Ovis aries: one gene and its partners. The protein of the gene in region 1 interacts with the protein of each later gene in a biochemical or structural test. Links are inferred from orthologs where the notes say so. Each region holds a gene or a part of one and is shown on either strand. Other genes may lie near its edges.

Evidence for each region.
Region 2: the proteins of FBXW7 (region 1) and KLF5 form a complex in vitro, tested with the Homo sapiens proteins (2 studies listed by BioGRID, with this or other methods). The link is inferred for Ovis aries from reciprocal best matches to the Homo sapiens genes FBXW7 and KLF5.
Region 3: of the proteins of FBXW7 (region 1) and CCNE1, one has a biochemical effect on the other in vitro, tested with the Homo sapiens proteins (18 studies listed by BioGRID and IntAct, with this or other methods). The link is inferred for Ovis aries from reciprocal best matches to the Homo sapiens genes FBXW7 and CCNE1.
Region 4: the proteins of FBXW7 (region 1) and SREBF1 form a complex in vitro, tested with the Homo sapiens proteins (3 studies listed by BioGRID, with this or other methods). The link is inferred for Ovis aries from reciprocal best matches to the Homo sapiens genes FBXW7 and SREBF1.

Annotation. Positions count from the first base shown.
Region 1 is NC_056070.1:5,524,517-5,528,076, forward strand, and holds part of FBXW7 (F-box/WD repeat-containing protein 7), read left to right. Parts: intron 1-1,697; coding exon 1,698-1,923; intron 1,924-3,560. UniProt on the Homo sapiens protein: Substrate recognition component of a SCF (SKP1-CUL1-F-box protein) E3 ubiquitin-protein ligase complex which mediates the ubiquitination and subsequent proteasomal degradation of target proteins.
Region 2 is NC_056063.1:48,404,666-48,408,944, reverse strand, and holds the start of KLF5 (Krueppel-like factor 5), read right to left. Parts: upstream 2,841-4,279; 5' UTR 2,520-2,840; coding exon 2,268-2,519; intron 1-2,267. UniProt on the Homo sapiens protein: Transcription factor that binds to GC box promoter elements. Activates the transcription of these genes.
Region 3 is NC_056067.1:39,910,955-39,915,103, reverse strand, and holds the start of CCNE1 (G1/S-specific cyclin-E1), read right to left. Parts: upstream 2,834-4,149; 5' UTR 2,629-2,833; intron 2,161-2,628; 5' UTR 2,132-2,160; coding exon 2,112-2,131; intron 2,005-2,111; coding exon 1,917-2,004; intron 1,689-1,916; coding exon 1,620-1,688; intron 1-1,619. UniProt on the Homo sapiens protein: Essential for the control of the cell cycle at the G1/S (start) transition.
Region 4 is NC_056064.1:34,381,087-34,385,206, reverse strand, and holds the start of SREBF1 (sterol regulatory element-binding protein 1), read right to left. Parts: upstream 2,807-4,120; 5' UTR 2,693-2,806; coding exon 2,545-2,692; intron 1-2,544.

The DNA of each region.
Region 1 (3,560 bases):
ACTTCATTGTCCTAAATCTTTGATGACTCATCATGTTAAAAAAAATATTTGAGGTAGGAGGATATATTTTTGGTGGGAGGACAAATTCAGTTATTCAGGCTTCAAGCCTCTGAGTCTCTCTAGTTACCCACCCAGCACCCTTCCCCTCTCCATTGTCTCCCCTGTGTCCAGGCAAAAGCTGAGCGAGGTTTTAACTCATTGCCATTACCTGTCACCTGAACTGGTGACTGAGCTTTCATATTTGGTCACCTTGCACACAGCTGGCAGAGAACCTCCTCTGATTATGGTAGGACCACGAGCCTTTGGGAGCCTTCTGTTGCACCCTGAGTTAAGGAAGAAATCCAGTTTTCAGAATAGTTTCAGCCAATGCTAGCCTTTTTCTTCTCAGTATCTTTGCTGTTGCTTTTATTTCCTGCTACAGAGCCCTCCTATTAAAAGTCCTTTTTGTTTTCCAGTGGCGTGTCTTCATGGTACTCCTGTTAAACAGATGTGATTTCTTACCTATTTTGTCAGAAAAAGTCTCTCTGAAGCGTCCTTACAGTGAATCCACTCCAGTTTTTACTGTTCATTCTGTCCATGGCATTCTTTATTAAGAACCATTTCATTAGACATATTTCACTCAAGATTTGTAATACATCAAGAAAAGTACCTTTTTCACTTGTGACTTGAATCTGCTTTGAACAGTGTGCTCTACTGTTAAAACTGGGGGAGTTAGTATCAAGAGACCTTGCAATTCAGTTTTCAGTATGTTCTGACTTAAATGTCTCAATGCTTCCATTTTCTACTCTTCCAAACATGGAAAGTGGTCTTTCTTTATCTCTTAGGAATAACATTAAAGACACCTGAGTTTTCAGCTCTCCTTTGTAATCCAAAGGTGATTACAGTATTTGTATCACTCTTGTTTATGGAAGAGTATCACTTTAATAATCTTGGGTCAAAATTTTAAGGGATTTCTGTTGCCTCTACATGTGTATCTTCTAAAAATCTCTATATCTTAATGCCCTCGTAGCCTATTGAATATTTTAAAATATAAGCACAAGCAACCTTTGTTTGAGGACCTATTTAAAACTGGTTATTTTAACCAGAGTACATGATATAAAGCACATATCTTTAGCAGTTTAAATTCCAAATTCTGGCTTGTTTCGTTGAGACACTTCTATTGAATTTTCTCCCTAGTCATAAAGGTAATGTGTGTTCATATTAAAATTTTGGGAAATGGCAGAAAGAATAAGGAAAAAATTGAACTTTTTCAAAATATCAATGTTACTACCTATTAACATTTTATACACACTATGCACACGGGCATCTTATTTCTAAAATCAAGATCTTGTATGTATTTTGAGTTTGCCATGTGTTCTACTAATTTTTTATCTTTATCTTCCTCTGCTTCATCTTCATTGTATCTAGCTATAATACAGTAGTTTTCAAACCGCAGGACGCCAAGGTGCTCCTGGGTCCCTCATAGGTGGGGGAACCAAACAGGCAGAATCTAAGGCTTTCCAACTTCCCGTCCCAAGCAAAGTAACTCAACTTTCATGTGTTCATATAGCACATGAGGTTTGACATAGCATGTATTTATTTTGAAAACAGGTGGTTTCTGCTTAAGAAAAAGAAAAGTTTTAATGGCCACTGACTTTTTATGTATTGTTTTCCCATGATTTTAAGCTCTCATACATTTTTTCCTGTTACACCCGCAGAGTCGTTAGCGGTTCTCGAGATGCCACGCTTAGGGTTTGGGACATTGAGACAGGCCAGTGTTTACACGTGCTGATGGGTCATGTAGCAGCAGTCCGCTGCGTTCAGTATGATGGCAGGAGGGTTGTGAGCGGAGCGTATGACTTCATGGTGAAGGTGTGGGACCCAGAGACAGAGACCTGTCTGCATACGCTGCAGGGCCACACCAACAGGGTCTACTCACTGCAGGTAAGAGGCTGCGCGCGCTCGCTCCTGTGGCGCTCTTGTAACCAGTCATAATACTGTCTTAGTCCATAATCACTTCAGACTGCTGATCCAGTACAGTCCAAAACAGATGAATTATTCTGCTGTTTACATTTACTTTAAAATTGGCACGAAGAAAGCATACATGTTGAAATTATTTAAATGATTTGTTTCCATTTTTCTGTGAGTCATCTTCCTCTAAAATATAAATATTGGTCTTGGAACCTGAGATTTTGGGGCTCTAAATTTTCCTGTTAATGGGGAGATAGTCTCATAGGAAAATAGCCTGGATTTTAATAAACTCCTTAGCACAGGATTAATTTGGCCAGAAGCTGCCCCGTTGCCTTGATAGCTGGAAGTTGACGGACCATGTAATTGTGATTCTGCCCCCATTCAAAGTGGAAGTGGAGCTTTGGGCACAAAGCTGCTCTGCTGCCACAGGGCTGCTGGGTTGTGGTCATAAAGAAGGAAATTTGTCTTAAACATTTTTGGTTTGTTTTTGTTTGAACCTGATATCCTAGAATAGATTGCCATATTTTGACATAAATAACTAGATTATTAGCAGGTTTAAAAAATAGGTCTTGTTTTGTTTCCTGAAAGACATTAAAAAATACAGTTGACTCTTGAACAGTGTAGAGACACTACCCTCCACCACCACTCCAGTCAAAAATCCTTGCATAACTTGGCCCTCAGTGTCTGCAGTTCCACATCCAAGAGTTCAGCCAACCTGGGACTGTGTAGTAACATAGTAGGTATTGAGCGAAAGAAATTTTTAAGTGTAGTGGACTCTCCCAGTTCAAACCCATGTTGTGCAAGGGTCAGCTGTATTTGCTATTAGTAATACTTACATAGCTTGTTTACCAATTACTGCCCACTAGTGATCAGCAAATTAGTACATGGTCCTAGGGCTCACAGTTCTGTCCTTGGAGTATTTGTTTCTTCATGGGATTCTGTCTATGTCATGAAATATTGACATAAAATAAAGATGGCTGTTAACTTAGAAAAGGTTATTAATTTGGAGGAGAGGGAATTGGCTGCAGTTGTCTGTATGTTTTGTGATGTGTTCAGAACCTTAATGAATATAACAGCCTCATTTAAATAAACCCCTTAGATTGAGAAAATAGGTAGGAACTTTAAATCGATCTGGGAATTGGTAGATGTTTGTTGACTTCTGGTCTAGCTGGGAAGCTGGAGAAGAGTACCATAGATAGTTTGCTTTGGTTATCAAAATGCCACCACTTCTAATTCTAGATTAATTATCTGTTGGCACAGTTCCTACCTAGCATTAGGTTCCTGTAAGTGAAATTTTTATTTTACATACAGTTTAATGGAACTTACTTTGAAGTATCATGAGAGTTATCTCTAGCTCTTTCCGTGCCGTAGATGTTGATAAGCACACCTTGTATCATAAACCACATCAGTAGTTTCACCTTCCCGTTGGGAAGTAAAACTCCAATGGTAGTCCATATCGAATCATTCATAATATGTAGCTCCTAAGTGTGGCCAGATGGTCTGACAATAATACGTTCATTGTGCTTTTTTAAAAATTGTTTCTGCATCTAGTTTGAGGCCACTGGTCATGAAAAAATTCGCGTTTCTGATAGAAGCTTCTGAGAACATGC
Region 2 (4,279 bases), on another chromosome or scaffold:
TGTATAATCTGCCCAATTCATCATCTCGGGAAGAACAAACTGTGCTTACTAAAATTCCCAACAATCTCTATGAAAAATACCCAAGGCAAACTCCTAAGTGTTGCTTATAAACATATCAGGTTTGTCAACTGTGAAACAAATGGTTCACCAAAAACCTTATGAAACTGTGTATAACAAGTGTTTGGTAAAATCGCCCCCGGTCAACCCCAGACAAAGTGAAAGAGACAAATCAAGAAGAAAAAGGAAGCAAAGAGAAAAAAATATTCCTTTCTGATGCAATAATAAAGTATACTTTATCATCACTCATATACAAGCAGGATTCTCTGCTCCATTACAACTGAAAATACAGTATTGTAATAAGGCCAAATTATCTCTATCTTATTCATGTCATATAGGTAAATCCAGTGGTTGAAAAGGGAAAAAAAAACCTCAGTAAACCTTCACGGTTAAAGTTAATATTGCAAAATTTCTTTGCTTGGGTAGATATTGCCGAAATAGCTAATATAAAACATATTCTTTGGCTATTTAAGTGCCTTTTCCAGTTTACAGTTCAATGGAAACTTAAATACAATGTTTTGAGCAAAACATAGTATCCACTGAGAGAACAAACCAACTTCTCCACCAGTTTGATCTAAATGTTGATTTTAATCAGCAGATTCTGTAATTGGTTAATATGATAATGAAATGTTCCTATTCATATCCCTATCTAAAACAGATCTTTAATTACCTAGGGGAAAACCATTCCTTTGGTAGAGTGGTGCTAAGGGGCCGTGGGTGGAGAGGCTGCCAGTAGCCAGCACAGTCATCAGCCAAACATTTATCGTGTCCTTCTCAGTGGGCCAACGCTACATTCCCCCTCACTCTGTAAAAAGCTCAGTCATCCCTTATCCTCCTGTGTCTTCTAAGCAGCAAACTGACAAATGCCCACATGGTTTTAAAATGGTGATTTTTCTTTAGGACATAATCCAGCTTGTAACCGGTCTCCTCAGTCTTTTGCAGCTATCATCTTCCCTAGTATAACAAACTTCTAAAATTTTTAGCACTGAAAGGAAATTTCAACAGAAACACACACATAGGAAACAACACCCCCAACTAGATGCTCACAGAACTATTAACCGTGGCATTTTAAAAAGTGAATAACAGTCTTTTTTTTTTTTTTTTTTGCTACTACTTAATTTCAGCTATCAGATCCCGAATCATTTTGTGTGGATATAGATTCGGGTTTCCCGCAAAGAGACGATTTAAAAATAAAATCGCGCTGTTCTTGTGAGTCACATCTCTGATAAATGCCACTGCCCTTGCACAGCACGGTGACACTCATAGACCCCCGGAGCAGGAGCTTGCTATAGCAAATACACAGTATACCAAGGGGGTATTAAATGAGGCGTCTTGAAATAAACCGAACTAAACCCTTTCGTGCGCTTTACTCCCATGGTGGTTAGTGGTTTCTGATTTTAGCTCTTCCAGCTGTTTGCATGTGGGTATGTTTCCAATTTTTTTTTTTCCCTGGGACAGGCTAAAAGTCCCGGGAAGTTTTTTCTGGGCTATATGACTCCCTGCGTGGGCGAAAGAAACAGGCGGTTGCTCTAATTCGGCTGCCGGGCAAGTGTAAAAGCCAACTGCCAGCTTTCAACGCGGCTCCGGGAGGAAATTTACGCGCAGATGAAGAAAACAACACCTCCCGGTCCTTTTTTTCCTTTCTTTTCTAAGGAAAAATAAGCGCTCCAACACCACCTTAGCTTTTCTAACTCCCGTTTCCCAAAGGAGCCCTAAGATCGCGGTCTAAAGCAGGTTGCTCCAAGCGATATTAAACTAGCACCCCGAGGGGCCTCCCCCCAGCACTCCCCCCCACACACCCCAATTTGCGTTCCCACTGAATCCGGGACGCCGTGGATCGGGACAGCGGGTGACCTCCAAGGCCAGGGCAGCGGGAGGCGGCGGATTTAGGGGACGCATGGAATTGAGGTCCGGCGTGAGGAACGAGCTTTCATCCCCCAAATGGTAGAAAAACAAGGTGCGCGAGAGCACCAGTTCCCTCCTGAACCTTTCCCGGACAGAGCACCCAGGGCAGACTCCCCATAGATCCTCTCCTTCGGGTGCCCCCACCAGGCCAGGAGGGCAGGGCGGGGCTGCCCCCCAGCCCTGGGCCGCGGTGCGCCCCGACGCGCGCCCCAGCCTGGAGCGGCCCCTGTCGCCCGCGAGCCGCAGCGGCGGGACACGCCCGAGGCCCCGGAGGGAGGCGGAGGGAGGGGAGCGGCTCTTCCTACCTGGACCAGCTCCTCGGCGGGCAGCCGCGGGCCCGCGGCGGGCGGCGGCGCCGGCTGCGGCGGCGCGGGCTGCGCCTGCGGGTGGTGGTGCGGGTGCTTCAGCTCGTCGCCGGGGAAGAGCGCCGCGTCGCGGGCCGGGTTCGCGGCGCCCAGCACAGGCTTGAGCTGCGCGAACACGGGCTCGTCCTGCGGGGCCGGCGGCTGGGGCACGGGTCCCAGGCGGGCGCTCATGGTCAGCACCCGCGTAGCCATGGGCACTCGGGGGTGGGGGGTGGGGGGGCGGTTCCGGGCGCGGGGCGCGAGTCGAGCGCGCTTCCCACCTCGCCCACGCTGCTCGGGTCGGCGAGCTTGGCTCCGGACTGACCCCTCAGCTCACAAGCAGGCGCGGTTTTCAAAGGCGCGCAAGAAAAGCCAAACTCTTCCGCTCCGCCACGCGTAAACGCCGACGTCCACCCGGCGACCACTTTCTCCCGCCCCGCCCCACCGCGCTCCCTAGCTCCCCGGAGTCCGCTCCCGCCACTGCCTGTCTCCGCGAGCGAGCTGCTAGCGCGCGTACCTGCCCCACGACTACTGACACTTGACGCCCGCCTCTATTTTACCCAACTCCGGGGAGGCGGGGCCAGCCGGCCAGACTGGCAGCGCTCCGACAAATCTCGGGGCCCCGAAGCTGGCCGGGCCTGAGCAGCTAACCTATGAAAAGGGAGAAGCTAGCTCAGAGCCCCGCCTCCGCCAGGCGGACCGCACCCCTTTCGGGCCACGAGCTTCGCGCGCAGGGCGGCCGCGCAGTTTGTACACAACCTCTCTGACAGATTGGGCTGGCGGAGACGGGGGCGGAGGGAAAAAGAGAAGCGAGTGGAATCTGGGGAAGAGAGGGAATTCGGGTGGAGACGTGGAGGGAGATCTCTTCGGACTGTTCTCTGCCAGGATTAGCGAGAAAAAGAGTTTTGCACGCCTTAGGTGTTGTGCAAGGACCTGAAACTCGCAAGTTGAAACCTGGAAGGCAGCTAGGTGGGGGCGCTAAGGTTTTGGAGTTTTGTTTAATGAGCGTGTATTTTTAAAAATACAAAATGTACTTTTCTTTAGCGCAAAACTAGGGGCGGTGTGATAAACATTTAAAAACAGCTCTTGTCTCTGTGTATCTTTAGCAGTGAATAAATCCCTTTAGCAAAGCAAATTTGAAATGCCCTGAATAAAAGGTTTAATGGCAGGTATTTTTTTTTTTAAGTCCTTGCATAAAAGCTTGTTTTTTTCCCTTGCAGTATTTAAATGGGTAGGAGTTTTCACACACATTTCAACCTCGTACCTGGTATGGAGAAGAGGGAGATGGGACACATGAATTTTGAAGTTTTTAATATTTACACTGTTGACTCTAACCAAAGCATGCAATCTAATTTAAGCACCAACGATTAAATGAAATGTATTTAAATAGACATTACATCTTTACTTATTTTTGCTACCACTGTGTGTTCAAAAAGTGGAGTTTAATGTTTGCAAAACAGAAACGTAGCACATTTACCTTACACCGTTGCACCTACTCCTACGAAAAGACAATCAAAGAAAGTCACAAACATTAGACACGCAGCAGCTCTGAAAACTGGAAATCCAAACTTATCGGAAAGTAAGAGCGAAAATATGTCACTGTCCATTTACTGTGTTATAGGGGGAAGGTGAATTTTGCCAGCAATCACCTAAGGAAACCACTTTCCTTAATCCTTAATATTCTTGTACATGATTTTTATCTGGCTTATTGGGAAGCCATAACACTACACTGCAATAAAAATGCCTGGAATATTACTACATATGTACATATGTTGACAGCATACTATATACCATTAGACATTTTTACATCTTCATCATCACTTCACCGTAAAGCAGCTTTTACAAAAAAAAAAAAAAAAGTGTTCTTAGGAAAATGTTCTCCTCAAGGAGTGAATCTATCAAAGGATATGGATCTCTTTTCAGTGTGTAGATTTTAAAAACTAATATACACATAAAGTGTTATAGGTGTTTAT
Region 3 (4,149 bases), on another chromosome or scaffold:
GACTGCTTCATAAATGATGGGTAATTTCAAGCTATCTACTTTAGACAATGTGTAGAAACCTGTTGTCATTAATCTCTGAACCATGAAAATGCCTTCTAGTGGGAAGTAATATGGCTATTCACATATCACATCTATCAGCTCTCTGCAGTCCAGGGACAGGGCCAAAGCCCTGTCTTAGGCACTCCAGGCTCCGCTCCAGTTATCTCTGGAACTGAAACTACTCTAAAACCCCAAGAAGTCAACAAGGACAGCTTTGCTTCAGCCTCAGTTAAAAATTCCAATTCAAAACATAGCTAGGAAGACAACCAATCTTGAATTTCACAAAGCTGAGATTCATTTTAGTAGAGACCCACAAAAATTAACTTTCTTGGTTTGAAGTCTTTACAGGGAGAATAAAAGAAAAAAAAAGAAAGAATTTGAAATGCACTGTCTTATTTCTTTTCCTAAAACAAAGTATCTCTTCTTCTAATACAGCAAGTAAACCATCAAGCTGTTGTTCAATATTAAGTAGAATCTCCCCAGAAATGGTAATTACTAGGGTCTTGTGTGCAATAACAGCTTTACCATGTGTCCCACAGCTTTGAAGACCTTCACTCTTCCAGACCCAGCCGCTATGGCCGTTGCTCACTGTCCTACAAAGTGATGTGCTGCCACTGCTAACCTCATCAGAACCACTTTCCTTGGCTCAAATACTATTCCTGCTCAGTTTTTATCTGTTACAGTGTCAGAAAGCCTAATCAGTTAGTTTGGAGATAGACTGCTTCCCCTACTGGGGCCATAACTACAGTCTCCAGCCATTTCTGGAGGCAGAGAGATAATACAAGCTTTTTGGGCTAGGGACTTCTGATATTATGATGGTACCGTGAACATGCAAGAAATATGGCGGGAACTCCACGAAGGAGGGGCAAGAGAAATGGACTGACTAGTCAGTTTTAAAAATGTGTTGAGATGCACGTATCATTACACAGAATGTCTTACTAATACTCTGGTGGAGGTCAGATCAAACTCCAGGCAGCAGTTATCACTGTACGTAATTGCTGAAGAGGCTAGAAGAACCATCAAAAAGGGGGAAAAAGTTTGAAACATGACCTGAAGGGGGTGGGAGCAGGAAAGGGAAGTCCTTAAGCACCATGAGGAAATAAACACAAGTGTGGATGGGGAGAAGTTGCTTATGAACACACACAAACCCCCATCATCACAGTTACCCGAAGAGAGCTGTGTGTCAGGAGCCCTCCCACAGTTCACTAGCCTACAGCCTAGGCTATAGGACAGACTCCGCCCCTGGCTTGCACAGGACTCTGGGTTACTTTCCTCCTCTAACTGAATCTCAGTTTCCTCAAGGGCAAAAGGAGAGGACTGAGTTATGTGAGGTTCATTCTGGTTCTTCCAGACATCAGCGCATATTTGTAATCTCAGGGATGTCAGTCAGGAACACAGTCCTTCCTGGAATCCCAAGACTGGCAGAGGTCAGTGCCCACTGACAGGCACAGTGCTCAGTTATATGAACTGTGGCCATAGTTGGAGAAAAAGCCTTCAGCAGGAGGCAAGCAAGTATGAGACTCAATGTGACCCCAAACAAGGGGAGCCTCAACTTCGACCCAATCAGAAAATGTACCTACCTGACTGCCACACTGGCTTCTCACAGTCTTGTCAATTTTGGCAATTTCTTCATCTGGATCCTGCAAAAACTAACATAAAACAACCCCCATACCCCAAGGAAACACACCAAACAGCCCAAAGACAAAAACACAGACACAGAGAAGAAAAAGAAAGCTAGTAAGGTTATGATCACCATTTCTGCCAAAAGCTCCCCACTCTTGATCCCTTATCAACAAATACATGGGTAGAACCCATTCTGGTACCCAGTTAAGATTGGGGGGGGGGCATCCTCCCCCACCTGTCTCCTTTGTACTCACAACGGCTACATTTGCCTTTCTTTTCCTGGAGCGAACAGAGACATCGGTGCCACTTTCCTCTTTCATGGTATCCGGTTCCTTCGCATCCCTGCAAAACCAGGATGGCACAGAGGTAAGAGTTCTACCCAAATCTCGGCCCACCCCTCCCCCACCACCGCACACCTTCCCCTTTCCCGCAACGGCCAGGCCACTCACCTCTCCTTTTCCCTCGGCATGGCGTTGGGCGCAGGATCAGACCTCAAGCCTGGGGGCACGAAACGGCAGTGGGGTGAGGACGGCAGCAGAGGGGTCCAGGGCCCGCCGGCCCGTCCCGAGCACCCCTCCCCCTCCCGCGCGGGCGGCGGCGGCGGGAGCCTCCCGGGCCGGTCGGGAAAATGGCCGATGGGCCCGGGGTGGCCTGTCACCCGCGGCGCCACCAGCGGCCCGCGACGCCGGGTCGGAACCCAGGGTGGGTGGGGGGGCCTCAACGCCCCCTGAAACTCTCGCCGGCCCATTGCCTCCCTGGGGACCCCCAGCTGCCTCAGTCTTCCCCTCAACACCTCCCCGGAGCCCGCTTCTGAGTCGCCCTACCGGGGCACCCCGCGCTGACGCCTCCGGGGACCCGGCGACCCGGCCTCGCCCCACCCCCACCCGGGCCCGGCCCGACCCGACCCGGGCGCTCCAGGAGTTCTCGCCCGCCGCGCAGTCCGGCAGCCCGAGGCAGGGTCCTCACCCGAAGCCGTCTCCGCGGCAGGCAGGCAGGCAGGCAGGCGGCACGAGCCGAGGCTGGAGGCAGGAGGCAGAGGCGAGCGGGAAGCCAGGAGGCGGGAGACGGCGGCGGGCCGAGCGCGCGGCGGTGGCGGGATCCGCGCCTGCCCCCTACACCGCGCTGGCGGCCGGGCCGGCTGCTCCTGCGCCCGGCTAAGAGCGGGACATTTAAAAATCCCAGCGCGCGGAACCGGCCCCCGGACCGCCCCCGCGCCCTCCCGCCACCCTCCGCTCCGCCCCGGCCGGCTCGGAGCCCCTCAGCGGCAGCCAGAGGGCTCGGCCCCGCCCAGCCACCGCCCTCAGGACCGCCCTGCGCGGCGCAGGCCCGCCCAGGCGCTCCGGCCCGCCCGGGGCGGGGCCAGCGCGGGGCGGGGCTAAGTGACAGGGCCTGCGCGCCGGAGGGGAGGGGCCCTGGGGCCGTGGCGGGGCCTGCACCGCCCAAGCTGCGGAGCCCGCGCGGGGCGGGACGCGGGGGCCGGCCGGCGCGCGCGGTGGGGCGGGGCTGCGCAGGCCGGGACGCGGGGGAGGTCTGGCGGGAGTGCGGCGGAGGGGCGGGTCGCGGGGCTCTGGGGGCGGAGCCGAGCGGCGCTGGAGCGGCAAAAAGCCGCGTGGCCGGCGCTGGTGGAATGTAAACACGGCGGGCGGCGAGGCTTCGGTCCCCGACTGAGGGGTCGGGCCACTAGACCTGACGTCCGTAGGCCTGCAGCGCGCGCGCACTGTCTCTCCTTGCACGTCTCCTCCGCCCCCGAGACGCAGGTTTCCGGGCCCTGAGTCAGGGTGGGATGTGCCCAAGGTCACAGCGCATGGTCACAGAGCCTAGAACCAGGGCTTCAGGCCGCCAGATCGGGGCCGCCTGTGGAACAGCTGTTACTCCTGGACGTGCGTCCATCCATCTGTCCATGCTCATTCAGCTAATACTCTAGCACCTTTACCTTCCATGTGTGCCTTTCGCCATAGATTTTCCCCTGAGCATCGGAAGACCTCTTTGATGCTGGGATTCCATGCGGCCCTCTTTACCTTAAGCATCAAAGCCACACTCCATGCCCTACAGAACTCCACGTGGACCTACCCTCACCCCCTCTCAGACCTTTCCTTCAACTGCCTCCCATCAGAGCTCCTCTGGCCATCCTCTGTCCTTTCTTATCTCGGGACCTTGGATTTTGTTGTCCCTAGCTCCGGCTCCTTCCAGCTACATCTTTCCTGAGAATTTCCAGGTCTTCCCCAGGAGTTCCTCTCCACCACATTGCCCTGCTGTGGCTCCTGCACAGCACTTGCTGCCATATGTTTCTTGTCCGTGTTTGGTTCTCTTCTCCCTGCCTTGTCTGTCTTGTTCACTGCTGTATCCCCCAGCTCTTGGCATAGTGCCTGGAGGAAGGGAGGCACTTCAATCTTACTTGTGAAGGAATGCTTGGAACACATGGTGACCAAGCCCTTGTGGATTTTACAGGCTAAGGAGACAAGTATTGAACTATCATCACTTGAAAAT
Region 4 (4,120 bases), on another chromosome or scaffold:
AGAAGGTAGCTCCCAATTGCCAGCCCACCCGCCTCCCTGGACTGCCCGCAGCTCTCCCCATCCCCCTCACAGGTGCGAGGGCTGGAACTCAGCGGGGCTCATGGGCAGCCCACCTATGGCCTCACCCCAGCTTTCCAGGGCAGCCACTGCAGCCTGGAGAGAGCACACGGCCATACCGGGAGGGCCTCTGCTTCCTGCCACCTGGGCACCCAAGGCAGGAGAGGGATGGAGAGGTGCCGTGTCCAGGGGGAGAGGCCTCTCCCAGGCTCTGCCCTCAGGACCTCTGGACGTGAGGATGAGGCAGGAGTGCCATGTGGGGGCCGAGTGTGTCCAGGGCATGGGGAGGGCCTGAAGGGAGGACAGGACTTACCACGGGAGGGCGGGCCCGGCCCACCTGACAGGTCTCAAACACCACGCTGAGACAAGGGACTGTATCTTGGGGTTCTGGGGAGCCATGGTGGTTAGGGAGCTGAGCAGGTATATGCTGTGGCCAGAGCAGGGCTGTAAGCCATCTTGAGCTTGTTTTCTACGGAAGGCCCATGCTTGGCAGCACCAGGGAGAGAACTGGGCATGAGAGACTGTGGGGAGTGGCCTGGTGGGGGGCAGGTTGGCCCCCATGTACCTCTTTTAGCAGGCTGGCCTGGAGCCCAGGAAGCCAGGTCCCTGTTGATTTAGGGACTGGACCGAAGGCAAACACCCGGACTTCAAAGACACAATGAATTGGGAAGCCCAGGCAGAGGTGACTTCCAGCTATGCACCAGAGGCTCAGGCCACTCCTTGACCAGGCCCACCTGACCAGCAGCCTCCTCCAATCGCCTCTTCGTCACTGAGCAACACAGTGCAGTGTATGAACCAGCGGGAAGTAAGGCCCTCCACGGCATCAACACAATCCCAGCACTCATGCAAGGCGGCTCCCACATACCCTCTCTCATGGCCACAAGGGACCCCAAAACAAAAACAGGAAAAGGAGGCTGGGAGCACGCGGATCTACCCGGAGTTGTCGTGCAGTGCAGCCAGGGCCTGGCCTGCAGCACAGGACTTGGGGCTCCTAGTGAGGGCGCTGGTCACATGACGGAGTCTGGCCGAGCCACATGCCCAGGCTGGGTGGGGCTCAGGGACATGGGCGGACTCTTTGATGCCAGTCCTCCGTCTCATAAGTCAAAGGCTCTGGGCTAGGATGGGGAGGTGGCCGTGTGACCTATGACCCCGTTTCGACCCACTCCCAAGCCTCCAGCATACCTCCATATAGAGCAGCCTCCTGAGTCCCCTGCTCTATGGCGTCATACACACACACACACACACACACTCACAATAGCGTTTAAGAGTGTGGCCTCTGGAGCTCCCATCCTGGGTTTGAATTCTGGCTCTACCATGCTCTGCTGTGTGACCTGGGACAAGTCACTTAACATCCCACTGCCTCTGGGATGCAGCTCAGCTCTCAGCCCTGAGTCAACGCTGCCTGGCCCTCCTCTCAACTCCCCTCCAGGGGACCTGGCAACTCTTGCGCCCTACGAGCTGGGTTCCCAGCGAGCCAACCAAAGAGTGGTTGGCTCAGATGTGTCCATTTTGCTAACCCTAGGGCGGGCATAGGCTCCATGGATGAGTCCATCCAGGCTGTGGGAGGTTTGGGTCCTGTGCTCAGGGCCTGTTATCCCCATCAACCAAGTGCAAGGTAGCCAACGTGGCTGAAACTGCATAGGAACCTCGGAGGCAACTTGTGGAGGCTGGAATGTGCTCTGTGCACCGTGGGCAACAGCCTCCTGACTGGCCCCGCTGCAGCTTCGCCCCCAACACTCTCTTTGTAGAACAACCAGAGCAGTGCTTCCAGGTGTGTGAGAAAGCCCGCGCTGCTGCTCCCGCCTTTTCCTGCCAAGTCCTCTTCCACCCACCTGCCCAGTCTCACCTGTGTCCCTCCAACTCCTCGCCGTGCCCTCCGTGGGGAAGACATCCTTATCGGGACTGAGCTCAGGTCCCACCCCACCGCCCTATCCGAAGCAGTCGCCCTGCCCCAGCCCCACCACAAGGTGTAAATATCTGTTTATGGGTTTCCTTAGGGTGGGTTTGTGCTTCCAAGGAAAGGGGGAGCCCAGGTCTATGAACCTCTGGTGCCTAGAACCGGGCCTGGCATTCAGTAGACGCTCGATAAACGTGTGCCGAACCGATACCGGGAGCCAGCTAGGAGAATCAGGCCCTGGTCTGTCAGGGTCCGCGGGACCGCGGCGCGCATGCGCAGGAGCGCGAGCGCGGAGCTGAACTCTCGGGCCGGAGGGAACGACCGAGAGTAACCTCCCGCTGACGTCAAGGCCGGGGCGGGGCGGGGCCTCGGCGATGCCGGCTGCCCCGCTCTCGCCACTGCCGCCTCCCGACTGAGGACTCGCTGGCCGCGGGGTGCGGGCCGAAGCGCCCAGAGGCGCACGTGCTCAGCGCCGAGCCTCCTACAGGACCCGGTGGGCACGGGCAGCTCCGCGGGGACAGAACCGCGAGGCCCGCAGCCCTCGGCGCAGAGACGCGGAGAGCTCCGCACAGAGGCCGCGCCCCCGACCCCCTCCGCGCCCCGCGCCCGGCGCCGCCCGCGCGCGGAGCCCAGTGGCCCTGACCCACCTTCTATGTCGGTCAGCAGCGCCGCGTCCAGCTCGCACGGCTCGGCCAGCGCCAGCTCCAAGGCCGCTTCGTTGAAGGGTGGCTCGTCCATGGCGCAGTCACCTCCTCTCGGAGGTCCGCCGGGCCCGCCGCAGCAGCTCCGCGCGTTCGCGTCCCGCCCGGAACTCGGTGGTGCCCAGCGCCCGCGAAAAGTTCCTCGGAAACTGGGTTCCCGGCGGCGGTTCTGCGGGGCAGGCGGGGCGGGGCGGAGACTTGCAGGAGCCCCGCCCCCGGGTGGACGGTCCCGCCCAACCTGAGGAGCGTCAGGCGGCTCCGGTCCGGCCTGCGCACCCGTCCCCTGGCCGTTCCATCCCCGCGCGGACTGCTGCGGGGCTCCCGCAGGCCCCGGCTTCTCCCGCCCTGAGCAAGGGGGCTGAGTGGAAGCCCCGGGTTGGGTCCGTCCCAGATGTCGCTGAACTTGGGGCAGGAAGTGACCCGACAAACCTCATTCCGAGATTTGGGCCTTTAGAAGACAGACTAGTCCAAGACCTGCTGTGTGCCCTCTGGCCAGTTACCTCACCACACTGTTCCTCAGTTTCATCAGCTGTAACGGGGCTTGATGGTGTCTCCGCATAGGCTGACTGGGACGTTAGTAACAGTGGCCGGCTGGGCCTGTGAGATGAGCCTGCCCCTCCTTCTTTAGATCTTCTGAAAAGCCTGGAAGAGGCTAGAATTTCCCACTCTTTCTCTGGTTTCCTCCCAGATCCAGCTGTGGGACTGACAGAAGGGCTGGGGGTTAGTGGGCCCAGTCTGGCTGCTGAAGGTGGGCTGGCCTCTGCACCCAGAGTTTAGGATCTCACCAGCACAAGCTCACTCAGCCACCTGGAACTGTACCAGGACTGGACCCCGTCCCCAGAGCAGCTGGGATGAGGTAGGGGCAGTCTGTGCTTTGGGCCTGGGACCCCTTGCCCTGGATCAGGACAGGCTCGAGCAGGTCAGAGGAGACAGCTAGGCTGGGGAGAGGGCTGGACCAGGACGCTGGGTCCTGTGGGTTGGGGGCAGAGCTAGGTGCCAAGGGAGGGTCCTAATGAGGTGGACTGAGATACTAATATGCAGGTGCTGGAAGTGTGGAAGCAGTGAGCAGAAGCACCCTTGGTAGGGGGCAGCCAAGGAGCCTTATTAGAGGTCTGGACCCCCACCTCCACCCCGACTCCTCAGTGAATCCAGCCATCCTGAGTACTGCTTTGCTCAGATTCCAGATATAGCCTGTCTGACCACACCCTCTGACAGAGTGACATTTATGGCGCACTTTGGAAGGGGGGTGTTGCCCAGGCCAAGAGAGGCCTTGGAGGCCCAAGTCCCTGGGGCTCAGACTGGACACGCAGGGTTCTTTGTTCCCCTCCCGGAAGTGGCTACGGTGGAAAATTACCCAGAACAGAGATGGCCAGGTCCCGGGGGACCTCCAAACCACATCTGTTTCCCAAGTGGTCCTGCCCAGGGACCCTTGGGACCTGGCCCTCCAGATGAACTTCTGTGGGGG